Linked DNA regions of Bombyx mori. The protein of the gene in region 1 binds, or shares a complex with, the protein of each later gene. Links are inferred from orthologs where the notes say so. Each region holds a gene or a part of one and is shown in the gene's direction. Other genes may lie near its edges. The genes, in order: DNA-directed RNA polymerases I, II, and III subunit RPABC3; Znrd1; RNA polymerase I-specific transcription initiation factor RRN3; general transcription factor IIF subunit 2; transcription initiation factor IIA subunit 1; general transcription factor IIH subunit 5; DNA-directed RNA polymerases I and III subunit RPAC1.

Region 1 (4,303 bases):
CCCATTTTCTGGGGTACGTGTCTCGTTCCATTATGACACGCTTGAGTTTCGCGGCTACACCATGATCGCATGAGGCCATCGTAGACGTGGTCATCAGAGCAACGGCCAACGCTACTGCCTCACCTTTAGTGGTGACTATTACGATTTCTTGGTCAACTTCGATGCCGTCTTCGTATCTTAAAATACCTGGTAACAGCACTTTGGCTCCGTAGCAAACAGCATTAACAGCGCTGTCTTTGATAAATATCCTTTTGTGAGCAATCAGGAGGCCTTCCAGAGGTTTGATTACTCGACGAAGATAAGTCTCGTCTTTGTGGTTTTCATACGACCATTGTGCATCTAGGATGTCGTGCATCGTGACCATGCCTTCCTTCTCGCCCTGAATGCCGGACCGTACTCGTCTGAGTTCGATCATCTGACCTCCGACGCCAAGCATCAGACCTAAATGCACACACATCGTCCGGATATACGATCCAGCCTCGCAACTAACCCAGAACACCCCAATATTCTTGTCCTGGTCGAAATCCAGGAGTTTACTGTCGTACACCGTCCTGACACGCAGTTGTCGCTTCACGGCCGATATAAGCGGGGGCCTCTGGAATAGAGCTCCACGCAGCTTCTCCAAGCCCTGTGTGACTTTTTGAATATTCTCTACGGCTGAATGCAAGTTGAAAACGGCTACATACTCTTTGCCAGCGTTCTGTTGTGATTTGACGAGTCTCGTGGCGCGGTCTATGCAAACGATAAGGCAACCCGTAACTTTCGGATCGAGCGTGCCCGAATGACCAGTCTTTTCGACTTTTAAAATACGTTTTATCCATGAAACTACTTCGTGGGAGCTGGGGTTGCTCGGTTTGTCGACGTTGATGAAGCCAGATTTGACGTAATCAGAGATGGGGCGTTTTAAAGGCGAGTTGCCGAATGGTAGCGGCGTGTAATGGTTAGTGCGCACATTTAAGCGATCGAAGTTTTTCAACAACAAAGGCCAGTAAGCGGTGTCCAGCTTCTTCACGCTCTCCGAAGGTTCGATTTTGAAGTCGCCAATTGTCTGAAAAGCTCCCAACGAAACACCATCCTTGTTTTTTTTCTTTTTCTTCTCTGAAAGTGTGTCGTTACCGGGCTGCAGTACCTCCGTCATTTTGATGAATTAACACGTATCTTTTCTTACTCTTAATTTTAGGCGATCGACGCAATCACTTGGGTAAACAATGCCCTATAATCGGGCACTGTTTATTGAAAGAACTTTGAAAATATAACACAATGCTCGGCCATATAGCACGTGCGATTCGGTTGAGGTTAGCTTCAGATTTGTTTGCGTATGATTATGGTCAGATGGCGCCAACGTGCAAAGCTCGTTGTGCCAACATTAAAACAGAAAATAATTCGGATACTTGTTAATTTTTTTAACCTTAAAGCAGAACATAAACATGTAATATTTTTATTGGACTGAAGTTTTATACTTTTTCGTTTATTATTGATAATTTTAATAATATTTTGTTAGTTTTTGACACTTAAAAACAAAAACGATTTCCAAAAAATGCCACGAAATATCGTAGTCACTACTTACACTAAAAATATTAAAGAGAAAATGGAACTTAAACGTAGACCGAAATATACATTTATTCAACTCCTAAATTTCGTACATTGTCTTGGCCTATTTATCATTAGATAGGCAAAGAGAACTAAAACTATGCCGCCGAATTTTTGTAACAAAAAACTATATTATTATCGACAAGGAACGTACAATGGAATAATTTAAAGACAGAACCCAATCCCCTCAAAATCTTAACCGTCCAACAGAAATCCATCAATTTCATAGTTGGGAATTTGCTTAAAGTCCAACAGAGATTATGGTAGACCCAAAAAAATAAAAACTATTTAACATCTTGTCCTTCCACCAAATCCTTATCAACTTCTTTCACTCTCACTTTAAATAGGAACTAACTAGTAAAAACAAATCTAAGTAGTCCAAATATATAATATAGGTAAAATGGGATTCTTTTTTTCAGTGTGAGATATTCCGTCAAAGTATCCAAATATTCAGTACCTATACTTCAAAAAAAAGTCACACTTGACATTGACATTTATTATCAATGTTTTTTTTACATAGACCTATATAGTATTTTTAGTGCCGTAAAATTTCAAACAGCAACAGAGTCAGCGTGCTTCTTTCTCATACTGTCCGTTGTTGATATTGTTTTAGTAAAATAAATTCACAGGATAAAACTTGATCATGGCGGGCGTGCTATTCGAGGACATTTTCAACGTCAAAGACATGGATCCGGAGGGCAAAAAGTTCGACAGAGTCAGCCGATTGCATTGCGAATCGGAGTCATTCAAAATGGATTTAATATTGGACATTAATTCTTGGATATATCCAATGCAACTAGGCGAAAAGTTTCGTCTAGTTTTGGCCACGACGTTGAGGGAAAACGGATACCCTGACGGCGGAGAATGGAACCCTCTGGAAACCGAAGGAAATCGAGCAGATAGTTTCGAATATGTCATGTCCGGAAAAGTATACAGGTTAGTTCTAACATAAAGGTGTTGTAGCGGCAGGTATCGTACAACAGAAGATATTTTACAGATGCAGTTAGCAATTATACAATTTCCTAACGATCATATTCGGAACGTCGAACTACCGAGCAAAATCATGTCCTCAGTGGAAATCTTTCCTTATAATGAAGCTACCTGTCACATTAGCTCCTCAATTTGATGTTGAAGTGGATGAGAGCCGAAAACGGCTCAGTGGTGTGGATTGGGAGACGCCCATGCCCAGCAGGGGACGCCTTGGGCTAATGATGATGGTGATGGTGATGATGATGAACACTTGTAATATCTATGTGGTTATAAAGTCTATATAAACCAATTTAACAGTATTATGAGTTTTGTACATAGGCAGAGTGGCACCTTCCTACAATATGAGGTACCACCACCACCTGGAATCAAATAAATCATAAATTTTGTGGGTTTCGTCATCATCGTCAGCCCACAAACGTCAGAACACAGACCTTTCCCATGACTCACCTCAATGGCTGGTCCTGTGGAGCCTGCATCCAGCAGATTCCTGTGACCTTTAGCAGGATATCAGAAAACCGAACAGAGCTGCCCACTCTCCCGGTGTACTATGGCCATTTGTGATCAATTTAAAAACTCACAAAATTTATCCATTTGTGATATTTCATTGCCTACCATTCATACTTACCTATGCGATTTGAACACTGGCAAATTTCATCCCTTAGTATGAGAATACAGTGTTCGATTTGTGATTTGATGTACCCACCAGATATGAAAATCTACAGATAGCCAATAGGACTAAAAGCAACTCCTAATTTGAAATAGCTGCCAAATGATTAATTAGTTCTCAATTACAAATTTAACGCAAACTCAACTGGGTTACGTTTAGTTAAGGTTATGTTTAGTTAAGCAAAAACAATGATATACTGTTTGTGTTACTATTTATGCTCCTGTATCAAAAATTAAATATATTCTTGTCCCTGAAGTAGTCTGGCTGATATCAGTGGAAAAGTATTCCATTGGAACTACTGCAAAGTAATCATTGTTGGACTAATAATTGTTGTATTTAATGCAATTGAGTGTACAGTGAAAGCTCTTCAGAAACCGTGAATATGGAATGGTAATTTATATATATCGGATTATAGAGGATACATTCCTAGGTGACATAGTAAAAAAAGTCTTTAGGCATAGTTGTGATAAGGTCTATTTTACTTTTTTATTTGTCCATTTGATGACAAATTTTCAAAATATGTTCAGTTCTATACCTACATATTGGAGTCCTTTTTATCAATGTGTCGAACCCGTCGCTTGCGATGAAGGGCTCGACGAGCAAATTAACCCATAGACACAGCCCACTGAGTTTCTCGCCGGATCTTCTCAGCCTGTCGTGTTTCCGATCCGGTGGTAGATTCTGCGTAGCACTGCTCTTGCTAGGGCCAGTGTTAGCAGCACTCCGGTTTGAGCCCCGTGAGCTCACTACACGTTAGGGGGAAGCTGATATAGCCTCTCAAGGCTATCAGCATAGGAAAGAATAAAAAAATTAAGCAATTTTTTTTTTTATTGCTTAGGTTTGTGGACGAGCCCACAGCCCACCTGGTGTTAAGTGGTTACTGGAGCCCATAGACATCTACAATATAAATGCGCCACATACCTTGAGATATAAGTTCTATATTCTCAGTATAGTTACAACGGCTGCCCCACCCTTCAAACCGAAACGCATTACTGCTTCACGGCAGAAATAACCGGGGCGGTGGTACCTACCCGTGCGGACTTACAAGAGGTCCTA
Region 2 (2,963 bases), on another chromosome or scaffold:
GGCTTCATCCTACACATTTTTGTATTTGTGTCTCTTACCTGTCGTTTTATCCGTTGCATCCGGTTTGAAATCACAACGATTCTAAAGAAGTTTTCACTTCAAAAGACAGGCTGTCAGTTTGAGGGAAAAATGTCATGATATAAAAAAATGTGTTTTACGTTTTTAAAAGGTTCAAAGATAAAAATCAATTGATTGTTAATGTATACGATTTTAAGGTGCGTGTGGAATAAATAAATGCTTCCTATACTGCAGTTTGAGTTTAATCCGCAACGACGACAGTTGTCAACATATTTCCTAAATACCTACTAATCTATATATGAGAAACAATGAAGATGACTGATTTTAGAGATCCACTATTGAAGAATTGCGTTTATAATTTCGTTTATAGAGTGGAGTTAGTAATAGTGTAAAGAGCAAGAGCTAAAAATGAGCTGTAGTAGACTGTAGTGGTTATATCTACAGCTACTGGGAGCGTTCTGTAGTTCTGTAGGCATTGTCACAGACTGTGGTAGAGAGACAAAAAGTCCACCAAAACTAAAACGTAGAAGTGCAATCTTCATTATTTTAATTACAGCACGTCATTTCGTATCCTCCCGATCCACTAACGGTGCTTTTAAGCACTTCAAATCACCAGTCATCGTTCTCGTCGAAACCGTCGCTTGCGACAAAGGGCTCGGCGAGTAAATTAACCCACAGACACAACCCACTGAGTTTCTGGCCGGATCTTCTCAGTAGGTCGCGATTCCGATCCGCTGGTAGATTCAGAGAAGCACTGCTCTTGCTAGGGTTAGCGTTAGCAACGTCATCAGGTTTGAGTCCCGTGAGCTCACCTACTTGTTAGGTGACGCTAACATAGCCTCTCAAGGCTATGAGCTTAGGTAAGAAAAAGAAACAGTTACTGAACTTCATCTTTTCAAATTTTAGTTACAAGTGATCTAATACTATCAGTATGGGCTATGTTTCCTTTGTCAATTGTCAAACAGTTAAAAAAAATTGTACGTAAGTAATGAATTTATCATTATAGTAAAAAAAAAATAGGTTTTTGTATAGCAAATACTTAGGGTATGTATACACTAAAACTGTCTAAAACCCTTCACAAAAATATATAGTATGCTTCATATTGGTTTAAAAATATATTTTGGTTATGTTTAGTACTAATAGATAAAGATTTAAAATAACCTAATATTCTAAACAAAAATACACAACCCTTTTAGTGATAATTGTGTTTACTTTTAGAAATAATGTCCACTGAAAGCCCGTTATCAACTAGTACAGCGTTTTGTGCTCGCTGTGGGTCCATATTACCCTTGCTACAAGAGTTTGGCTCCGTGAAATGCTACACTTGTAAAGCACATTATGAGGCTGATAGTAAGTATATAGTTGCCAATGAAAAAATTACTTTCATATAAACGGGATACGATTTTTCAGCGTTATGCTTTTGTATAATTTTCGAATATTCACTATTAAATTTATAATAAATAAAAAAACTTTAGTGATACTTATGAAATCCAGAAAGAACCTGTTGTATTTGTTTTCGAAATATAAAATAAAAACTTAAAAAAATGTTTTATTCAGAAATTCTTTTTTTACAGATTATAGTAAAATGAAATTTCAATACACAATACATTTCAATACTATATCTGTGATCACAAATGAGAATATACTACATACTGATGGTCCTGAGGGTCCAGTTGTGGAGAGAAAATGCGCTAAATGCGGTTACGACAGAATGTCATATGCAACTCTACAGTTACGATCGGCCGATGAAGGACAAACAGTTTTCTACACATGTATAAAGTGCAAGTATGTAAATTACAATATTTATTTGTATTTCGATGAGCAAGTCATCAATATCTGTACTTGTATTAAATAAAATTGGACCCTACCACTAGCCTAAGACAGGAAAATAATTGCAACTTGTGGCCAAATTTCCTTGGTAATATAAAACTGGACATAATAATGATCTTGTAAGCAACTACTATCTCAAAAATAAAATTATTTCCTAATTTAAAAAAGAACACATCGTACAAGATAATATCGTAAAGTATTATTTATTTTCAGATACAAGGAAACTGAAAACTCCTAAAGGCTGCTTTATACTAGTTTTAAGGTTGTCAAAGGAAAACTCGGCAATAGAATCATTGTATCAGAATCACTTTATGCAAAAATCAGTTTTACTGATTGTTTTAAATTAGGTAAATTTAATAAGGATTAAAATTAATCACCATGTAACTGGTGCGTAATTTTAATTCCATTTCTTGGAATGATAACTTTTAAACTGTAAATTCTATACTGATTAATCTTAAAAACCATGTTTTAAAAATTACATGTAATAGAATCAAATCTGAATAATTGAAATTATAAACATTTGTCCAAATGTTTTTTTTATGCTGAGAAATACATTTCTATTTTTAAATAATAAGTTCAATGAAAGTTTCTTTTTCAAAAGGTTTTATTTCCATGTTTCTAAAACCATAGCAATATTGAAGAGTTTTATGCAACAAGTTTATTTGGATCTTAGTGTAGAAGATTTACATTTGACAATTTTTGATAAACTTATAATACACTACTCAGAAATAATTCTATGTAGAACAAGCTCGGCCATATTAGTTTCCTACAGTAAGCATAATATGCCTGTATAACAAAAGTACACACTGCTAATCTTCCATAGTAGAAGTCACTGGATTCTGTAATACATACATATTTATTAAGGAAAATTTTTACCTGCCTCCTAAGGCCTTATCCCTTGATACTAACACCAGCACAATCGCTTGATACTTGTAAACCGGCATCGTATCCTATAGACCACAACAACATCAAGTGGGCTGTGAGCTAGCGTAACCATACAATGAAGAAAAATAATCGTAGTATTGGCAACAGTGTCCGTTGTGAATGATGTTTTAAAATGAGATTTTGCTCTAGAAATGTGGGCAGAAGCTATGATGTGGTTGTTTTAGATCACT
Region 3 (4,234 bases), on another chromosome or scaffold:
GCGTAGTGCATGAAGAGTCGGCTGTCGAGCGACGCCGTGCTGTTGAAGTGCAGTGCTTGCTGGCCGATATCCAAATTCCGCGGATTCTCCCATGGTATCGCGAGTTTGTCTCTTGCGTCCACTAACACCTGTATGCCTTTGACAATGTTCTGATATATCACATGCTGGTACTCCCGCACGAGTTCCGGTTCGAATTTCACTTTGTGTATGATTCTCATCTGTTTGAGGAATGTTGACTTTCCGCTTTCACCCGCGCCGAGTAACAACAGCTTCACCTGCCGCCGCAAAGTTTGCTTATCTTTCTCGAGTATTCTGTCGATCTCTTTACTCCTATATCGTTGCTCTATCTCCTCCGGCGATAGCTTCAGACGCAGCCAACAAGTCAGAGCCTCTGTACAGCAGGTACATGACCACAAATCGTTGGCCATTTTGCATGATTATCAAGACAATTAAAAAAGGAAACAAATCAAATCACACTTTATTTGTACAGTTCATTATTTTAAAGTTTTCCAACACAACACACACACTGATAATGATAATACAAAATGAAGATTAAATCCGGAATTCCGAAATACACACGCATTCCACCCCTCCCAATTTCATTGAGAAATGAAAAGTCACAGATAAACGACAAACGTCAAAAATTCAAGTAGGTAGGTACCGTACATGCAGTCTAACATCAAATCACATTCGTAATCTGTAATGCAGACACAACATTCATCTCTACTGTATTCTCTTATATTCTTATTTATATATGTTGTATCTCTATTGAATTCAATAAGTATTGACAGACAAAATAAAGCGGAGTTTATATGAATAATCTAATATTTATAATACTATCAAAAAAATTCGATCGTTCGTACGTTCAATAGATTTGTAACTTTTTAACTCAGTGTTTCTACTTAGGGGAAAATAATAGACAAAGTTTAATTAATCTAAAATAGGAGTCGATTGGCCAGATCGGAGTAATTTTTTACCATGTGTATTATCTACGGAGTTTTTATACGAGTTTCATTCCTAAATTGGGAAAATAAAACTTTTCATTGCAATAATACAATTTTTTTTAAAACATTAAATCGATAAATCAGCTCAAGCTCAAACTGATGACATTAATTATTGAAGTCAGAACTAACTTATTTATAACATTAAAACTATACACAGAAAATAAGTGCTGTCGATAGTTTAATGACAAAACGCAAAAGGGCTCTCATCGAAATAGACAATAAATCTAAAAATAAAAAGTTTTAATAGAGACCAATACCTCAACTAATATGTGCAGTATTTAGACACTAACATGGTGGCAGCGCTTAATACGATTTTATTAGGCGTCTAATTCTTCAAGCCACAAAATTAATTATGCTTTCTTTCGAAAAAGACTTGGTTCGAGTCTTTCAAAAGAAAAGACTAACGTATAGTCATTTTATTCTTTGCCTTTTGAAGATAGAAAAATCAAACCAAAATGACAAATTTCGGCGTGTCAAATAGAAAGTCAAAAAGTTCCGCGCACGTTGCGCACGTGTTCATAAAAGGAACTGAGGTGAAGAATTAGGTTTAGGTGGTTTAATTTGAACGTACGTGTACATTTTCCGTTAATTCATCATAAATATTAATCAATAAAACATCAGCAACATTGTACACAATGTAAAACTTAGAGTTACCGTTAAGCTATGTCGAGAGAAGGTTATAGCCCAGAAAAGAAAGAAAGTGACAACAAGGCTGTTTTAGAGCGATTACAGTCTTATTTGAAAGACAAGAAAAACACTGACGTTTCCGACACGAGCGCCGGGTACAGCAAACCAAGTACGAGCTACGATCCGAACACAAATACTGTCCCGAACATAGAAGATAGTAGTAATATTTTACGCGAAGTACTGAACTACAAAAAAGCAGAATTGCTTCGGCAACCAGACGTAACAGAGTTTTTAAAGGCAATCACGAAAGACTTGAAGAAGTAATGGCGGTAGCGGCTAGGAAAAGCGTCGCGTCCTTGATGCAAAAAACTCTGGATCGCCAAGCGGCTTTAGCTCGTACTAGATTGAAATTCTCCGAAAAACAAATAGAACAGATACTTCTTAATTATGCTAAAACAGGAAACATTGGACCTTACTCGGAATTAGTCAGAGTTTTGAGAGATTACCCATTAAATGATGAGAATTTTCGGATTATTCTCGAAGATTGTCTCTCTTGCGTTCTGATTATGGGACAGGATTTCAAGCAGTTTGTAGAAGCAGTGTGCAATGTTGAGTGGGCTAGTAGGTGTGAAAAGTTAGTCAACCTTTTCAGCACCTTCATCATTAGCCTAGTCACTGCACATATTTACCATTGTCCGCAAGTGATGAGCTGTCTGGTTAAGGTTTTTAAAGGTAAGTTAGCAACACACAGTGGTAGTTCTAGTATACCTGGACAATGATAGCCACTTACGATTCATTGGTTTGTAGGAATTATGAAGATGTCATAAATTATGCTATTACATTATATTATTCTATAATTGTAATATTAAATATAAAATTGTTAAAAGACAAAGAAAATAGAAATGAACATATAAAATATATATTTATATGAACGAATAATCAGTAAATACTAATAAAAACATTGTGAAATATTGTGAAAGAATTTAACACATAAAAGTCAATACAAGTACTCTTTCAGAAATCTAGTAACATTTAAGATTTGAGATTTTCTTTTATTTCATATTCTTACTAATATAACTACTGAAATATTGTATTGTATAAAACTGAATTATATTATTATCATGCTATTAGTCCGTTACTTTTATTATAATGCTTAGATAGGTGGATGAGCTCACAGCCCACCTGGTGTTGAGTGTTCACTGAAGCTTATAGACATACAGAATGTTAATGCTACCACCCACCCTGAAACCTGAGTTCTAAGACTTAGTTTTTACAGTACATCAACTACCCCACCCTTCAATCAAAATACATTACTGCTTTACGACAGGAATAGGCAGGCAAGTGGTGGTACCTACCCACGCATGCTTACAAGTTTCTCTACTGATAGTAATTAAGGAAATTAAAACTTTTACGGGTTTGATTTTTATTACACAACTTCACTGTGGAAGTCATTTGTGAACATTAGTTAAGTAAGTAGTATTCCATCAGAAAAATTGTTACCAGCCTGCAGGATTCCAAACCAGCAGTCACAAGTTGAAGTATCCAAGATAATATTTAAAAAAAAATATTGCCTTTTTAGGCAGACTTACTTAATCTAATAATAATTTTCATAACATTAGTTAGAGATATATTTGATGATGACTATGATATTTTTAGCTAATGAAGAAAACTGGGATGACACTCCACCAACAGAGAAATTGAATAGCTGGTCTAACATTCATACAATCATAGGACAAATTATCGCAATAATGCCGATGTAAGTATTTTACGTAACTTTCTTTAAGGTTATGCTTCATATTACATTGTTTGTGGATGTTTATATCTATCTAACAATTTAAGTAATGTCAGGACTATTTTCTAATGAAGCGCCCTATATGTGTCACGATACATAAAAATTTATAAAATATTTACAGAAATCTTCAACAATTTGAATTAGAGTGGTTTGGGAATTTAATTATTTGAGTATGTGTATTGATTTAGCCCCAGTATTTACTCTTAAGTGAGTGGATATAGGCTAATATATCAAAATGCTTCATGAAGCATATTGATGATATATTTGACAACCTACAAAGGTTGGATGAGATATTTAATTGGTCAGATCTCATTATACTAAAACAGTTCCCTTTTTGGGAACTGTCTTCTGCAGCTAACTAAAAATGTTTGAATACCACAAGATCATCACATAGATGTTTAAAAAGTTTATGGGACCCACCATACTACTTACAAAACATTAGCTGATGAGATCATATTTGAGCCTTCTGTGACACACTCAAAAATTTTAATATAATACTTAATAATAAATGGGTCAATGAGAGACTGAAATTGTTCTCTTAAAATAACCAGGTGCACAGAGTTCTATCTGGCTTTATAAATGACTCTGGAAACTATGTTGTGTGATTTTGCACCTACATCAATCAATACATAGGCGGCACTGAAAATTTCGGGAATTAACGAAGTGACACAACATTACTATTTAAAAATGTATTTATTGCTTTTCGAAGTATTCTCCGCGAAATTTGACACATTTTTCCATACGATGGAACCAATCATTGAAGCAACCATTCCATTCGGAAGTTGGGGTCTCCAAAATGGCCGTTTTGTAG
Region 4 (4,153 bases), on another chromosome or scaffold:
TTGTTTTATTTACTTATGATTAATTTATATTTACTTGGGAAATGATCCACGACAGATTTGTCCTGTAAGTTGTGAGACAATTAAAAAAAACATCTATTTTATCACTTAAAATTAGTTCAGCGCAATCGGACAACTCCGAATGAACATTGACGGAGACCACGCTACCGTGGACATTATTGTAGTCCCAAAGGATTCTGTATATGGGAGAGTAAGCACCTAAATTCGAACGAGTGAGCTTTCTTATAAACGGTTTATATTTCTTCGGTCTTGGTAAGTACTTAGGGGCTGATATTTTTATCTGGGTTAAGAGATTAGTTATGTCGGTTATTCCATGGATTAATCAGATGAATACCCCCACTCTGAACAAATATTAAATATTTTATAATGTATTACTTAGACATTTTTGTCCACCTCGAGATTTCATTGTTCTTGTTACATGTCTGTGCAAAATCGACTTACTTATATTAAATTGCTTGGCTATTTCAAGTAAAGACTTATTCCCAATTTCATAGGCTTCTATTGCTGTTTTTAATATTAAGGGATCATATCTCTTATAAGGCTTTGCACTCTTTGATACGTAAACGCGAGGCATATCTAAAAATAGAAAACAATACGTAACTGATAATATATTTACCAAACAATAAAATAACACATTGATAATTTTAAATAAAAGTTCTAGACAAAGACATCATGAATAAACCAGATTTTTACCAACAAATTTAAAAAATATTGTTATAACTACATAGACAACCCTACAAACCTGTACCTATTTATACTTAGGTGGTTTCCATTTCACGTATTCTCATCCCAATTGACCCCTTTTTCGTTGTTATTTGTACCTAAGACGTCCCTAATATCCCCCAAAACAACAGATTTTTACATGTATTTTTATTTTATCAAATACATTAAAACCAATAACAACTGAGACTTACCTTTAATATATATGATGGTTCAAACACTAAATAACGTTTATAAATCACAGTCGTCTTCTATTATTATCAAATAAATAAAAGAGAGCAAAGTTTCTAGCACTAAAATAATTTCCAACACAGGAAGTTAATTTGAAACGCGATTTTTTATAAGTTAGCAGCTATTATCATGCATATTCAGAGTTTTTTTGTGAACTTTCAACATTCTACTATTAAACTACAAAAAATGGAAGATTTTGCAACGAATATAAAACTAATATTGTGCGTCGCAAGATTTTCCCGGTTTTTTCCCGATTCGCCTCTCAATCCCTAATCGCCCCATTTTACGGTATTTATTATATTAATCTGTGGTTAAGCTGTCACCATAGATTATACACTTAATATTTTCGAGAGCTGTCACTTATGTAGGTCTTTTGTGGAAGTGCAAGTAAATTTTCTAAGATTTAGTTATAGTTAAAGGAAATCTTTACGACTTTAGTACTTTTAAAGGCCGTTAAAATAGTGTCCGCTATCGACTGCTAATAGATTTTATATTCCACAACAATGACCGAATTGGACTTATCAAATACTGGTAGAGGAGTATGGTTGGTAAAAGTACCTAAATATATAGCAAACAAATGGGAAAAAGCTCCTGGAAACATTGAGGTAGGAAAACTAAAGATCTCCAGAGTACCAGGAACGAGAGCTAAAGTGCAGTTATCCTTGTCAGAAGCAGTGCTATGTTTAAAGGACCCTGGTGAACAAAGCATACCAAAAGAACATAAGCTTGATGTTTCAAACGTTAATACTCAATCTCTAGGTGTATTTTCGCATATTGCCCGTAAGTAGTCTCATAATTATCTATATTTAACGCCTCCTAACATGTCCTGGTGAACTCAATGATAAAATTAATTTCATGTCTAAAGTTCGATATTATATTAATCGTGTTTATTCATAATATAACCATTTTAGCGACAAATACGGACTCTGTAGTACCAGAGACAGAAAACCTTTACATGGAGGGTAGGATTGTACAGAAATTGGAATGCAGACCAAATGATGATGTGACATACTATAAGCTTAAATCTGAATCAATAAAGAAAGCATCCATGCCTCAGCGACAAGTGCAACAGCTTGACAGGATTGTTCAGAACTTCAAACCAGTATCTGACCATCCACATAATGTATGTTTACTGTTGAAATCTAAAGGATTGATTTACTGTATTTTTCAGCAACTGATCATTAAAACATGCCCCTGACTGCATTGGAAGTCAAACTAGAGATGATTAAAAAGTTTTAAATAGAGCATGTGTAGAGCTCTGAGATCTCCAGATGCAGTTCAATACTCTTTGGATATGTTGTTGAATGAAATGCTTCATATAAATTCTACTAGAAGTATTAAAATACAGGTTGCAGCAATGTCTGCTCCCATTGTATAGCAAAGTTATCATTTAGACAAACTCGAAAATAAAAACATGATTGATCAATATAAAAAATTATAAATTGTGTAGTTATTGATAGCTACTTATCTGATAACAGTCCTCCATAGGTTAGGAATTAATGGGACATAAGTAGTGATTGATATAATTGGAATGGTGGAACGGTAAATAGGGAATGTTTAGTAGCTTGGGATGGCCAAGACTGTAAAATTTGCATCTTGAGCTGGTATAAAATACAATAGGTACTTCCACCTTTTATCTGAAGATGGGTGGGCATTCATATATGTGTGGTATTGGTACAGATAGTAGGGTGTGTGTAGATATTGCTCCTGCTTATGTTTACAGCAAATCATTGTGTGCTTAGTGTGAGTTTTTAACTTCTTGATCAAACGGCCGTCTGGTGTAGTGGTAAGTGACATGGTCACTACACAAGGAGGTCGCGGGTTCGAATCCCGCCAAGGTAAGATATTTGTATGATAAATGTAAATGTCTTTCCAGGGTTATGGGTGTACATTAAATATATGTATGTGTATAATAAAATATTATATTTATTTCCGTTATCTGGTACTTGTAACACAAGTTCTTTACGAACTTAGCACGGGACCAGTTAACGTGGCGTGATTGTTAGTAAATATTTATATTTATATTTATTTATATTTAAAAAATAACTCAAATTTGTATGAAGTTGGAATAGCGCCCCTGCGTTTGCTTCTTGGGGTGCTGTTCCAACTCTGATCGAGAAGTTAAAAAGTTCACACTAAGCACATTGGTTTGAAGGAAAACCTCATACAATAGAATTGAGATTTCGACTTCTCAAGGTTTTTGGTGCTATTCATGTTATGATGACTAGTGAGGTAACCACTTTACACTGGGTGGACCACGGGGTTCTTCACTCATCTATATAGTAAATTAAATTATAAACATCAGTAAATAAAAACAAATGGCTCTGTATATTTTTACTTTCTATGAGCTCTTAAACCAACCAGAAAACTTTTCACAAGTGACACAATGAATAACAACAGGTTTTAAAATTTCTTAAGTTGTTTTACTTTTTGTATTCTATTAAGTTTATTTCATTTCATTATGTTAATCATGCTTTTTTTAATTTTGTATATTAAAATTTCGTAAAATATTTAGATTGACTACCAAGAAAGGAAGAAGGCTGAAGGGAAAAAGGCTCGTGATGATAAAGAAGCAGTGCTCAATATGCTGTTTGCAGCATTTGAGAAACATCAGTATTACAATATTAAGGATCTTCAAAAGGTAATAAATACTATTCTGATGATTTTATATTTGTCTAAACATAAAATTATTAACACATTATTAAGCAAAAAATTTAATCATTGTCTTAATAAAAAAAATAAAGGCCAAAAGAAACTGTTTCACTGTATATATTATATTCTAATTTTGATAATACTGTTCATACTTTGAAACTGAGAATAGTAGTGACTTTGAATTTAAAATTAGATGTTCATAAAAAAAAACACATCTAATTGCATTTTTTTTTATTGCTTTGATGAATGGACGAGCTCACAGCCCACCTGATGTTAAGTGGTTACTGGAGCCCATAGACATCTACAACGTAAATGCGCCACCCACCTCGAGATATAAGTTCTAAGGTCTCAGTATAGTTACAACGCCTACCCCACCCTTCGAACCGAAACGCATTACTGCTTCACGGCGGAAATAGGCGGGGTGGTGGTACCTACCCGTGTGGACTCCCAAGAGGTCCTAGTGAATTATGTAATTATTTTTTCATTAAATCATTATAATAATAGACATAACGATTTAAGTATATTATTTATT
Region 5 (4,092 bases), on another chromosome or scaffold:
CTTTACCAACTTAAAAAGTTATTAATTATACAATTTATGACACTTAAAAATTCTAGTACTTATCCTTGATTGATATAACACAGTTATTAATAGCAATGTAAATTAGGTATAACGGTATTCTTAGTTAGCATTGTAATTTTAATTGTAGTTAACATAAATTTCTATTATCATTGACCCAAATAATTTTGCTAACTTGTACATAGTTGGAAAATTTTACTTATTAAATATTTAAAAAAATAATAATGTATATTAAATCATTAAAAACAGAAACTTTCGAAATGTTGCAAATTTCGACAAGAGATGGTTTTTGAACTGCCATAAAACCAAAATTCTACATTAATAGCGAACACATAGTGAATAGTAAACAAATTTTAGTTTGATCCTACGTTAATTTAGACTTCAGGTGAGCGAGTAATGATATTCTGGAACGTATCGATCTGCTGCAAATAGCTAGCCGACGAACAAACCAACACGGTCCCCACTAGACCGCGTCGACCGCGGACTATACAGATACACACCAATCACTGACAGATGACGTTATTTCCCCGAAATAACTAGCTGTGCTTTTAATTTACCTTTAATTAATTTACGGTAAATGTGCTGTATTGTGTTATCAAGAGAAGTTTGATTTGATAAACTGAAAAAACCGTGTTTCATTCGGCATTGGTATCGATTTTGTTCGTTACAATATTTACTAAAAGAAAATTGAGGTAAATGAGTACTGTAACCCTCATATTTTGATATTTATAAATTTTTAATATTATATTGAAGTCAGAATATATAAGAATGTTCCATTAGAATACCTTCTTACCAATTGTCGTGCTTTAAAAATCTGTCACAGAAAGAAATGTATTGAGTCAAATGAATTGATGATGATTGATGTCAAATTAATAACGAAAGCATATTATTATACACTACCTTTTCAACTATATAAGTTTAAGCCCCTATTTTAAATATAAAAACTTCAACGTCATTCGTTACAAAAAAAATGAAAAGCTTCGACAAAGACGAAAAGTTCTTTCCAACATTTGGATTTCCCGCCACAAAAATACTAAAATTCAATTATTGTCTATGCCACCAATTTTAATCAACATTTTTTACAACCACTGAAAAACTGAAAAATCTATCTAAAATAACAATTAAGTTTATAGTTACTCTTGTTTCATAAACGTCCTATTATGCGGTTTTATTAAGAATGAAGTCTTTAAGTTTTCATAGTACAAGATAAAATTGAGTGTTGCGTTGCTTGTACTCAACAGTGCAATAGTTTAATATAAATAAAATATAAATATTATTTAGTCAATATTATTTAACAATGGTTTAAGTAGAAATGAATTTCATTAAAATTGGCTTGTAACGAATTTTTTTGAATGAATACCGTTTTTTGTGAAAATTCTATATTTTTAAATTTCATCATTCAATGTTATAACAATAAATTTTAGATATGCCAATTTTGTTTTGAAATTTTAAAGTGGTGGCTCTTTCCTTTCAAACCGTAAAATCAATTTAAAGGCAACTACCCAAGGCGCAAACTCACCAATACGTAATCAACCGGGGCGCGGTGCGGGGCGGTGCTATTTCTCGTACTCATAACGCATGCGCCATCTTTGTCGTCGTTCAATGTCGGAATCAACGAACCATAGACAATTATTTCTTTAAAGGCTACGAAATATTTCCTCGGTTTGTAGGTTATGTTTGAGTGATCAATTGTCAAAATTTTTATGGTGAATTTATAAATTTGTCTCTCTTTATGTAAATGGACGTCATAAAAGTTAAAATAAGCTACTTTAGCCACATATTATCTTAAATATATAAAATTGGTCATCAACATTAGTGAATTAACAAACTGTGTGAATTCCAGAAATTTGACATTGAAATGTTGCGATGTGAACTCAGAAGACAAATAATCGGCTCTAAACTAAACTAAACAGATTTAGAAACAAGAATATCTAGTTCTGTGAACATTTTACACTGTTAAACAATTTTCAACTACAGCTCGATTGCAAAATGACAACGAGTCAGCTCGCAGTATTGAAACTTTACAACATAGTGGTAGACGACGTGATATCCGGAGTGAGAAATTCTTTCTTAGATGACGGTGTAGACGAACAAGTGTTACAAGAACTAAAACAACTATGGAAGACAAAGCTTCAAGCCAGTGGAGCCACGGACCCGTTACAACCTGAGCCGATGCTGCCACCTCCTCCAGTGTTACAGAATTTCCAAAAAGTAAATGGTAGTAATGTAGTGCATAAAAGAACTGACATGGGACATACTTCGGGGCAACAAGAACATAGTGCACCAGCATCTAGTGTAGCTGGAACGCATACTCATCATATTCTAGACCCTAATAATAAAGTGCCAGTTCAGCTTACATTACCTGCTCAACCTGGAGTTCCAGGGTCCCAGCCTCGTTCATTTACCATTCAAATTCCAGCATCAGCTCTGAACGGCAACAAACTGCATCAGGTCTTAACAGGTCCTATAATAAATGCTACCATTAGCCTTCCACAACCTCTAGCTGCTACTTTACTGCAACAACATATCAACTCGGCTTTAGCAGGACAAAAAAGTGATTTTGATAGCGGCGGAGGCGGCCGCAGTGGAACTGCTCCTTTCTCTTTAGATGGTGCTTTGGACTCTTCTGATGATGATGGCTCAAACGTAGGTGATGGTTCAGAAGACGGTGCAGCAGATGATGATGATGATGACGATTCTCCCGAAGAGCGGGCAGAAGAAGAAGAAGAAGAACAAAATGAAAGTGGTGGTGCTGAAGAAGAACCCCTAAATTCCGGTGATGATGTATCTGATGAGGAGCCAGGGGACATGTTTGATACTGATAATGTAGTTGTTTGCCAATATGATAAAATTACACGCAGTCGCAATAGGTGGAAGTTCTATCTCAAAGATGGAATCATGAATCTAGCTGGAAAGGATTATGTATTCCAAAAGGCTAATGGTGATGCGGAATGGTGATTATAGACAGTGTGTATTTTATAGAAAATTATTTGTTATATCTCGGAATTAGGGCTTAAGGTCTCATAATTATTATTTCGTTATTTCGACATGTAATTTGATGTCTGTATGGCAGATATCTGTGTAACAAGATTACGATAAGATTGTTAAACAAATTATGAAAAAAAAAAAACAATCTTTAGTAGGTAGATTTGAAGTTTTCTAAGACACTAGTATTACCAATAGTAAAAAACTCTACCAAGCTCCTTCAGTCTCACTTCCCATTAGTGTGTTTTTTGTACACTACTGAGACTACTACTTACTAATATAATTACAAAAAAAAACACAAAAAAAAATCTAAATGAAAGATATTTATTTGACTTTGTGCTTCTAATATCGAGATACATATCTTGACTTATTGGGTATTAATAATGTACAATACAAAAGAAGTTTGTGAATAATTTTGTTATCTCTTAAGTTGATGCTCTTTAATTTAAATGCCACTATTAAAATTACAATAAATGTGACACATGACCCATGTTTTTTTTATAATATTGAAAATGTCCTTAATTTCATTTGTTTAAACAAAAAATATAATGCATAAATAAACAACTTTTAAATTTAATAAAAATGAGTTAAATTTCCTCTTTAAAAATGAAAAAAATATTTATTACAGAGTATGTAAGATCAAAGATAATTTAAATATCAAACAAATAGTCCTTATTAGAAGCAAACAATTAATTTGGTTTTTTTTTAAATTTCTACATCTCAACAATGGGCAAGGACTGCAAGGGCATGATACTTTAAAATGTAATTATTTCTAATATAATAATATTATAGATAACGTTTAGGGGGTTTTATTTTAATAACGAATTAAATTGCACTCTTAATATTAAGACTTAAAAGGAAAAATAACTACACACAAACTCATATGAAAGCTATTTTTACAGAAGGAGAGTCATCATGTTTCTAATGTAAAAAAAATCAGTTAGGCTGCTTTAAAAAAGTATGGTAAATTTCAAAACAGAGTGCACTTGTCCACAATGATCAACCTATTATTTTTATTATTCACATTAGAATATTGTTTTTTTTTCTTCATTATTTCACTGGCTTAGTAATCTATCCATGTATTTTAAA
Region 6 (4,390 bases), on another chromosome or scaffold:
CTGTTCTTAACTTCAGTTACTGAATCAATTGTCAGTATAAACGCGACGAAGTAGGACGTGTCGTGTGTGTGTGAATGGCCCCAGTATTATCTAAACAACAAAAAATTGGTCTAGGCGCAGACCTCGCTGTCGGCTCAATTGAAAAAAAAAAAAAATGAAGAGTATGGGCGAAGAAATATATATTGCTGCGCGGAAAGTTAGCAAATATGAACATTATGAGTGATTTATCTATCCGATGATATGTAGGAGAAGTAAAATGTCCCTTAGAAATAAGGTGACACTCTACAAAACTTGCATACGCCCCGTCATGACCTATGCAAGTGTAGTGTTCGCTCACGCGGCCCGCATACACTTGAAATCATTCCAAGTCATTCAATCCCGTTTTTGCAGGATAGCCGTCGGAGCCCCGTGGTTCGTCAGGAACGTCGACCTCCATGACGACCTGGACTTCGAGTCCACCAGTAAGTATATGCAGTCGGCGTCAATGCGCCACTTCGATAAAGCGGCACGACACGAGAACCCTCTCATCGTGGCCGCCGGTAACTACATTCCCGATCCTGCGGACAGAATGGAAAGCAGTCGACGTCGCCCAAAACACGTCATCTCGGATCCTCCCGATCCACTAACGGTGCTTTTAGGTACTTCAAGCACCGGTCACCGTTCTCGTCGAACCCGTCGCTTGCGACGAAGGGCTCGACGAGTAAATTAACTCTTAGACACAGCCCACTGAGTTTCTCGCCGGATCTTCTCAGTGGGTCGCGTTTCCGATCCGGTGGTAGATTCTGCGAAGCACGGCTCTTGCTAGGGTTCGTGTTAGCAACATCGTCAGGTTTGAGCCCCGTGAGCTCACCTACAAAAGTTAGGGTTACGCTGATATAGCCTCTCAAGGCTCTCAGCTTAGGCAGGAAAAAAAAAAAAAAAAAAAAAAAAAAAAAAGAATGATTTAGAACCAGCAGACTTCAGAAATGATCTACGAATGGATTCGAGGTCGTTTGACCAAATATTAAGCCTTGTGGCACAATTTTTTTCAAAAGCAGGATACTATCCTACGATACTACTATAGTCTATTATATATCTATATTATATAACTATTACATATCTAATCCTACGATAGTATAAGTCCAAAAGAAAGATTGGTTGTAACATTAAGATTTCTTGCAACAGGAAATTCGTATCAAGATTTAATTTTTAGTTCTTTATAATATCCCAACCCCTTCTGACAAAAATTATCCCTGAAACAAGTTGGGCTATTTATAAATGTTTGGCACATTTAATAAAGGTGAGCGAAATAAATACTTTTTATTCGGAAGTAAAAAACAAACTAAGCCGTCCTTACGCACGGAGAGCTATGGGACGACTGAAATCATTAAGTAACTAAATGCGATTACACCTTCTTATATGCGTTTCTAATTAGGCTTCTAAATGATTTAGTCAGTCAGAAACCATCCTTGCTACTGAATTTAGCAGGTTAACTTACTGAATGCTATTACACCGACTAAATTTAGCAAAGTGTAATGAGCCTTCCACACTTACCCATAAATAATAGATATTAAGTGTATAGTCTATGAATAATAGTTTATAATAGTAATAGTATTCTGTATAACCTATGGTATCTACTGAAAGTAGGGAGTAAATAGGTACCTACATACTTTATTTACAATTAATTATTACATAAAGTGACAAGTTCTAAAACAATGAACCATGGTGAATGTAATGAAAGGTGTCCTCGTTGAATGGTATTTATTATTTTTATTTCTCACAAATATTACTTTTACATATGCAAACTTACAGATAAAGTTAGAATCGTTACAATGTGCTTTAATGATTTGAATTTTAAATTACATCAGTTAATCAATTTACTACGTACAATATATTAACTTGCCAAAGAATTTCTTCTTTGGTTTTTCCCATACTTAAATTTAATGTTCTGGGCCTAGGTTATGAGGAATGCCTTGTATATAAAACTTCATTCAATGTAATCCATATCTTTAGGTATGTTAAAATTTTCTTCTAGTGCATCAATATCTATTTGAAAACTATTTTTTATATAAGATTTCAATATATATACATTTTCTGTCCATCTGTTGCTGGCTGTTTTCAATTCCTACAAAATGAAACATTTTTAATCCAATATTATTATTTGATAATATTATAGTTATGTCTTTGGTTATACATACTACCACCTACAGAAAGCTATTTATCAAAACATAGTATTTTTTTAAATGTACTTTGTTTTCCTTATTTTTAAATAATGAATACAATGCTTAATTAATATACTGATAAGTTATATTGAGTAATATTACCCACCAAATAATAAAATATATATTTTCTAGCATGAAATAGACATGTTAGACTTAAAAGTCATTACCAGTTGTAAGCTCATACAGTTTTGTCATTCTGCCTACATCTGCCAAAAAAAATATACACATTCCAGTTTGATCAGTTCACTTGGCCTTTATGAAATATAATAGTAACTGATCTAATGTGTGCAATATTAAAGTGGGTAGCAGAAGTCACATTGTGATACCTATCAACTTCAGTAACTTACTTAACACTTCAGAAACACTAAATACTATACTACTATAGAAAGGCCATGAACTGATTCATCAATTACTAAATCCTTAAACTTGGGACATTGGCCTTATCTATTGCGCTCACAGTGGGGCGCTAATATGAGCTTGAATGGAATATAGACCTTAAGACATCATCTCATCTACATTAATATAAGAATTGGATTTACAGTTATTTCACGTCTCAGTTGTGCAATATATTCAGGATCAGATTCTCTGTATTTTTGTAATTCTCTCTTATATGAAGCCTCTTGCTTTTGAAGATCTTCTAAAGATGATAATATTTTTATTCTTTCTTCAGATATCTCTCTGCCTTTCTAATATTAAAGTCAATTAATAAATATATCAGTCTCTGATAAATATAGAATAGAATTAAGTTTCATTATAACTCTATAGACTATACTATACTAAGTAAAAAACTATAAATATTCTGACCGATTCTGCTATAAGGACTTCCTCAGTTTTCTTTAACTTCTTCGTACATTCATCAAATTCATTCTGGAGTTCTTGTAGCTTCCTCTTCTTGGTACTTTTTGCTTTGCTACAAGTAATTTATTTAATGTTTGCATGGCATTACCACAGCTTGCTTGATTTGAAAAATAATTTTGCAGTCATAAATTTTTAAAAAGCACAATTGTTTACTCTTAATTTCTCATAGCATCAGTGTGTAAAGTCCATGTAAATTTTATTATTCAAAATAATAAAACTAGTCTTAGTCAATGACTGACTCGGTGGTGCAAAAGTTGGCACCCCTGACTGCCGAAAGTTGTGGATTCGATTCCCATATTGGGCAAAAATTTATTCATTCAGCTTTACTGCTTACATGAGTCCACCTGGTTTTACATGGTAACCGAAGCCCATAGACATTACAACATAAATGCTGCCACCTGCCTTGAGACAAGATTTCTAAGGTCTCAGTTGTAACAGCATGATGACCTAACACCCTTCAAACCGAAATAAATAACTGCTTAATGGCAGAAATAGGCCAGATTTGACGCCAGATGATAATGTACTGTTCTGTTCCCAGTTATTTAGTTAGTTGTTTAACATAGTACCTTGGGAAAGACCAAAAGTACACTGAAGTCCCAATTTTTTCAGAATCAACCAGGTGATCATCAATTAGACTCTGAATCACTTCTTTAACTGATTGCATTGTAATACCCTTTTCTTTTGGTGCTATTTTTTCTAGTTCCTGTAAAAGTTAAAATATAAAATATTATCTTAATAGATTTTGTTATGGCCACTTCTGTTTTATGTGCTGTCTAAACATTTTCTTTTGAACTAATTATTGACTATTTGGTGACTCAACTAACATGATCACCAACAAATAAGAAATTGGACTCCTACCAAGTAAGTCAAATGATGAGTAAACATTCGTGAAAACTTCATTTATTATTACTTTGCTCTCAATTAATTAAAAAACGACCTTGCATTGCTAGTAAGTAAGAAACTCCAGACACTATTTCACACTGTCTCATTTATCCTAAATAAGAGATATATTTTATTGCTTAGTTGAGTGGAAGAGCTTAATACCCACCCCTGGTGTATGTGATTAGGTTACTGGAGTCAACAGACATCACAATGTATGTGCCACCCATCAGTATTATCAGATTTCATTAATTATTTATTGTGAAAGTCATTTATAAACATGTTTAATTACAAAGTTCATTACTAAAATTGGCACCTAACCGCTGGGTTTAAACATTGCTATAATAATACTGTTTAATATGAGTACATCTGGCATCTTATCGTTTAGGGCAGAGTGACATCGAAAGCTATGTATGAAGTTGTAATTTAATGAGGTTACCTTTAATTGAAAA
Region 7 (4,306 bases), on another chromosome or scaffold:
AATAATAATGATTTCTTTTTGTTTCCTTTTGTTGGAGTTTACTCCTTTAGAATCGATTTACATATATAGGCCCGGGGTATGAAAATTATGGGGACCAAAATCGTACTAGCATGTCACACGAAATGCGTTATGCGCCTGATTGGCTCCTGATTGCGTGATGCGTGCGCGCGCCAATCAGGAGCCAACGCGCGGCCGCGTTATCGCAGGTGACGCCGGGCTGCTGCGCCGGCAGTCCGCCACAAAGCCTCGTACTGATCGCGCGTTTCTCTCATTATTGTATTTTCATATATTTGTTAGTCGTTTGTTTTGTGTCTCGTTAATTTGTTAATAATCTGTAGTGTATCGTGTTGTCGTAATATAGAACTATTTCTCGTATTGTTTCGTTTAATTTTTTATATCCAGTAAACTCCAGTCGTGCGTCGGAGCGGACACACACACTTTTTTCATTTCTTTCTGTTTCGATTTACATAAAACAGACACGACTTCACTTACTGTAACAAAAATTAGGATTGTATGGTCTTTGATCCTTTTGCCCAGCGAGTTGTCAATTCAAACAAGTAAAAACCTCTATTTATTTTCCAATACGGTACGGTACCGTACCGTAAAATGGGGCGATTAGGGACAAATTCCAACTTTATGAGCAATTTTAAGGTAGTTGTTGATGTATATAATGCTATATCAGGATCAAAATGATTGAGTCTTGGGGGCATCTTTGTTGTCTAATTTAAAATTATGCAACTAGCATTCCAGTTTAAGCAAAAAATGCAAAAATAGGTGTAATCTCTATTTACCCGAAAATTGCGGTTAATTGGGATGTAATGAGAAATTTGCTAGGGTTGGCACTATTTTTATTTTTATATATAGTTTTAATTTATTTATTTATTTAGTTGCACCAACAAAGTGATCATCAATAAAAAAAAATGAAAAACTGACAAAAGTACATGGCAGACATCACCTCAATTATAGGTGCAATCGACAGTGCTGATATTTCTATCTGGGTTAAGAGATTAGGTGTGTCGGTTATTCCATGGATTAATCAGATGAATACCCCCACTCTGAACAAATATTAAATATTTTATTATGTATTACTTAGACATTTTTGTCCACCTTGAGATTTCATTGATCTTGTTACATGTCTCTGCAAAATCGACTTACTTATATTAAATTGCTTATCTATTTCAAATAAAGACTTATTCCCAATTTCGCTTCGAATAAACCAGATATTTACCAACAAATTCAAAAAATATTGTTATAACTACATAGACAACCCTACAAACCTGTACCTATTTATACTTAGGTCGTTTCCATTTCACGTATTCTCATCCCAATTGACCCCTTTTTCGTTGTTATTTGTACCTAAGACGTCCCCAATAACCCCAAAAACAACAGATTTTTACATGTATTTTTATTTAATCAAATACATTAAAAGCAATAACAACTGAGACTTACCTTTAATATATATGCTGGTTCAAACACTAAATAACGTTTATAAATCATAGTCGTCTTCTATTATTATCAAATAAATAAAAGAGAGCAAAGTTTCTAGCACTAAAATAATGACCACCACAGGAAGTTAATTTGAAACGCGATTTTTTATAAGTTAGCAGCTATTATCATGCATATTCAGAGTTGTTTTGTGAACTTTCAACATTCTACTATTAAACTACAAAAAATGGAAGATTTTGCAACGAATATAAAACTTATATTGAGCGTCGAAAGATTTTCCCGGTTTTTTCCCGATTCGCCTGTCAATCCCTAATCGCCCCATTTTACCGGTACCGTACCTATGTACCTACATAAGTACAAACTTACATTACTTACTACATAGTCAAAGTTTAAATTACCTACTAAAAATTACTTAAAATCACTACTTAAGTGTATAATCTATGATCACTACCTTACGTAAAATCATCGAAATATTTAATTTTGTCAATTATATCTGTATAAAAATATGCGACAAACTTTATATACAGTAAACGTTACTGTATACCTGTGAAATAAGATAAAACCTTATTTACATTAATTAGTAAAATATTGCAAAAATGCCTAAATTCGATGAAAAACCCCGAGTTTTTCTTGAAGAATTCCGTGTTAAGGTTCTCCTTTAAATTGCAAGACTTATTTACAACGATAAAAATGCACATGATCATAACCTAATAATTTTTGCCCGTACAGAATGCACCCGAAGATTACGGATTAGACGATGAAACATGGGACTTCAAAAAGTTTGTGAAGAAGTTTAAGATAGTTGTAGTACGAATGGACAATTTCGAAATGGAATTTGACTTGATTGGGATCCAGCCAGCATTTGCGAACGCATTCCGGAGACTCATGTTAAGTGAAGTTCCTAGTATGGCTATTGAAAAAGTAATGATCAAGAACAACACTTCTATAATACAGGATGAAGTTTTAGCACACAGATTAGGATTGATTCCTCTCAAAGCTGATCCAAGATTGTTTGAATATAAATCTGAAGGTTTGTGTACAAATTATTACAAAGCCGAGACCATATGTGGGCATTCGTTTTGGAAGATGATTGTTTTCTGTGAAATTGGTTGTCTAATTATTTTTTATTTATCAATTACGTAAACTAGTACACTAATAAAACCACAAATATTCATTTTTCTAGTATCCTAAAATTGACAATTTAGAGCTGGAATGCAAGATGTTATTAAATACTCACTTTTATACCTCAATAAACATTTATATCTCATAATCAGTAAAGTTTTCACAGCCTAAAGGATAAGATGCCTGGTCCATTTTTATTATTGTAACTATGATGAAATAAAAAAAGTTAACAGAAAATAAAAGAATTGTTTGAGCAGCTCTTGTAAATAATTTGAAATTTTATTTTCAGAAGACACGGAAGGAACAGAATTCAACACTTTAGAATTTTCACTAAAAGTAAAATGTACCAATAGCAAGTCACAACCAAAAGATTCATATAGAGCTGAAGATTTGTATGAAAATCATAGTAGTGAGTTTTCTGTATATCAATATAATAATGTGTAACAAACAGCCTATTAATGTTTTTAATATAACAGTAGATCGCAGATCAGCATATGGCCCTGGTATTAAGCTTGCTGCAGTGCATAGATATAGGTGATTCACTCACATTAAGATATGGGATTGAAGTTTCCATTCCATAGCAAAACAGCTATCCTTACAAACTGGATTCCTTTGCAGTAGAAATGGACAAGATAAATTATGACTACCAATACCAAACTTATAGAATGTTACTGCCATTTTCTGGTAAATTTTTTAGCCACCTGTAACAACACCATGGTAAGATATAGAGTGGTATTGTTGTATGCTGATAGGACAGAACACAGAGCTGATTTTTTGAACTATGGACTAATCTATGAAATTTATATTTATAGTTTTTTTATATAATGCTAGATGATTTTGTTATTCTTAATACTTAGTTAATTACAAATATGTTTATACAGTTTATTCATCCCATATGAAGTGGCATCCAATTGGCAACCAAGCTACAGTTTATAAAGAAGCTGATGTGGGTCCTGTACATAAGGATATTCTTATATCAAAAATGAGACCTGGCCATGAAATAGACCTTCAAATGATTGCCGTGAAGGGCATAGGAAAGGATCATGCAAAATTTTCACCTGTTGGTTAGTCCCTTCTTATGAATATTTTATAAAATGAGATAAGCTTATTTTAATTATTAAAAAAAATGGTTTAACTAACATATCCATTTTATTCTACAGCAACAGCTACATACAGATTGCTGCCAGAGGTAACACTGACTCGTGAAGTTTGTGACAGTGAAGCCACACTGTTGCAGAGTTGTTTCTCACCAGGTGTTATTGGTATTGACTCTAAAAACCGAGCATATGTGAAAGATGCAAGATATGATGCATGTAGTCGTAATGTTTATAGATATGACACAATCAAAGATTCAGCAATCCTAAGTAGAGTTCGGGATCATTTCATATGTAAGTAGCCATATGTAAATTAATGAAATCATAAAAATGCCACAAATAATTACATGTGCAACAGTTTTTTTGCTATCAATGCTGGTTACCTCAAGGGGGTCTAGCTTCACCTAACGTGTAGGTAAGCTTACAGGCTCAGTCTGGCGAATTTGCTAACACTAGCCCTAGCAAGGGCAGTGCTTCTCAGAATCTACCACTGGATCGGAATCGCGACCCAGTGAGATGATCTGGTGAGAAACTAAGTGGGCTGTGTCTAAGGTTTAATTTACAAACCCAAAAATCTAAAAAAGTAAAAAAAGCAAAGGCTTATGTTTTCAGAAGTGTTTATATTTGTATCTATGTTGTACATA

The links.
Region 2: DNA-directed RNA polymerases I, II, and III subunit RPABC3 (region 1) and Znrd1 share a complex: the UniProt entries of both Homo sapiens proteins name them as parts of the pol I pre-initiation complex. The link is inferred for Bombyx mori from reciprocal best matches to the Homo sapiens genes POLR2H and POLR1H.
Region 3: DNA-directed RNA polymerases I, II, and III subunit RPABC3 (region 1) and RNA polymerase I-specific transcription initiation factor RRN3 share a complex: the UniProt entries of both Homo sapiens proteins name them as parts of the pol I pre-initiation complex. The link is inferred for Bombyx mori from reciprocal best matches to the Homo sapiens genes POLR2H and RRN3.
Region 4: DNA-directed RNA polymerases I, II, and III subunit RPABC3 (region 1) and general transcription factor IIF subunit 2 share a complex: the UniProt entries of both Homo sapiens proteins name them as parts of the TBP-based Pol II pre-initiation complex. The link is inferred for Bombyx mori from reciprocal best matches to the Homo sapiens genes POLR2H and GTF2F2.
Region 5: DNA-directed RNA polymerases I, II, and III subunit RPABC3 (region 1) and transcription initiation factor IIA subunit 1 share a complex: the UniProt entries of both Homo sapiens proteins name them as parts of the TBP-based Pol II pre-initiation complex. The link is inferred for Bombyx mori from reciprocal best matches to the Homo sapiens genes POLR2H and GTF2A1.
Region 6: DNA-directed RNA polymerases I, II, and III subunit RPABC3 (region 1) and general transcription factor IIH subunit 5 share a complex: the UniProt entries of both Homo sapiens proteins name them as parts of the TBP-based Pol II pre-initiation complex. The link is inferred for Bombyx mori from reciprocal best matches to the Homo sapiens genes POLR2H and GTF2H5.
Region 7: DNA-directed RNA polymerases I, II, and III subunit RPABC3 (region 1) and DNA-directed RNA polymerases I and III subunit RPAC1 share a complex: the UniProt entries of both Homo sapiens proteins name them as parts of the pol I pre-initiation complex. The link is inferred for Bombyx mori from reciprocal best matches to the Homo sapiens genes POLR2H and POLR1C.

What each region holds. Positions count from the first base shown.
Region 1 is NC_085130.1:16,021,180-16,025,482, reverse strand, and holds the start of DNA-directed RNA polymerases I, II, and III subunit RPABC3, read left to right. Parts: upstream 1-1,430; 5' UTR 1,431-2,233; coding exon 2,234-2,526; intron 2,527-4,303. Other genes in the region: H/ACA ribonucleoprotein complex subunit 4, read right to left, coding at 1-1,138. UniProt on the Homo sapiens protein: DNA-dependent RNA polymerase catalyzes the transcription of DNA into RNA using the four ribonucleoside triphosphates as substrates.
Region 2 is NC_085112.1:11,752,565-11,755,527, forward strand, and holds Znrd1 (transcription-associated zinc ribbon protein), read left to right. Parts: upstream 1-1,235; 5' UTR 1,236-1,236; coding exon of another isoform or gene 1,237-1,241; coding exon 1,242-1,368; intron 1,369-1,592; coding exon 1,593-1,803; intron 1,804-2,061; coding exon 2,062-2,086; 3' UTR 2,087-2,377; downstream 2,378-2,963. UniProt on the Homo sapiens protein: Core component of RNA polymerase I (Pol I), a DNA-dependent RNA polymerase which synthesizes ribosomal RNA precursors using the four ribonucleoside triphosphates as substrates. Can mediate Pol I proofreading of the nascent RNA transcript.
Region 3 is NC_085116.1:3,278,826-3,283,059, reverse strand, and holds the start of RNA polymerase I-specific transcription initiation factor RRN3, read left to right. Parts: upstream 1-1,386; 5' UTR 1,387-1,954; coding exon 1,955-2,363; intron 2,364-3,287; coding exon 3,288-3,387; intron 3,388-4,234. Other genes in the region: Galpha12 (G protein alpha subunit), read right to left, coding at 1-428. UniProt on the Homo sapiens protein: Required for efficient transcription initiation by RNA polymerase I (Pol I). Required for the formation of the competent pre-initiation complex (PIC).
Region 4 is NC_085110.1:12,712,143-12,716,295, reverse strand, and holds the start of general transcription factor IIF subunit 2, read left to right. Parts: upstream 1-1,280; 5' UTR 1,281-1,472; coding exon 1,473-1,749; intron 1,750-1,880; coding exon 1,881-2,092; intron 2,093-3,484; coding exon 3,485-3,610; intron 3,611-4,153. UniProt on the Homo sapiens protein: TFIIF is a general transcription initiation factor that binds to RNA polymerase II and helps to recruit it to the initiation complex in collaboration with TFIIB.
Region 5 is NC_085117.1:13,410,866-13,414,957, forward strand, and holds transcription initiation factor IIA subunit 1, read left to right. Parts: upstream 1-1,485; 5' UTR 1,486-2,007; coding exon 2,008-2,976; 3' UTR 2,977-3,489; downstream 3,490-4,092. UniProt on the Homo sapiens protein: TFIIA is a component of the transcription machinery of RNA polymerase II and plays an important role in transcriptional activation. TFIIA in a complex with TBP mediates transcriptional activity.
Region 6 is NC_085109.1:11,979,289-11,983,678, forward strand, and holds the start of general transcription factor IIH subunit 5, read left to right. Parts: upstream 1-1,574; 5' UTR 1,575-1,701; coding exon 1,702-1,736; exon of another isoform or gene 1,737-1,966; coding exon of another isoform or gene 1,967-2,104; intron 2,105-2,740; coding exon of another isoform or gene 2,741-2,887; intron 2,888-3,005; coding exon of another isoform or gene 3,006-3,111; intron 3,112-3,625; coding exon of another isoform or gene 3,626-3,762; intron 3,763-4,377; coding exon of another isoform or gene 4,378-4,390. Other genes in the region: meiotic nuclear division protein 1 homolog, read right to left, coding at 1,967-2,104, 2,741-2,887, 3,006-3,111, 3,626-3,762, 4,378-4,390. UniProt on the Homo sapiens protein: Component of the general transcription and DNA repair factor IIH (TFIIH) core complex, which is involved in general and transcription-coupled nucleotide excision repair (NER) of damaged DNA and, when complexed to CAK, in RNA transcription by RNA polymerase II.
Region 7 is NC_085131.1:5,578,839-5,583,144, forward strand, and holds the start of DNA-directed RNA polymerases I and III subunit RPAC1, read left to right. Parts: upstream 1-1,444; 5' UTR 1,445-2,042; coding exon 2,043-2,096; intron 2,097-2,175; coding exon 2,176-2,476; intron 2,477-2,857; coding exon 2,858-2,977; intron 2,978-3,449; coding exon 3,450-3,632; intron 3,633-3,728; coding exon 3,729-3,956; intron 3,957-4,306. UniProt on the Homo sapiens protein: DNA-dependent RNA polymerase catalyzes the transcription of DNA into RNA using the four ribonucleoside triphosphates as substrates.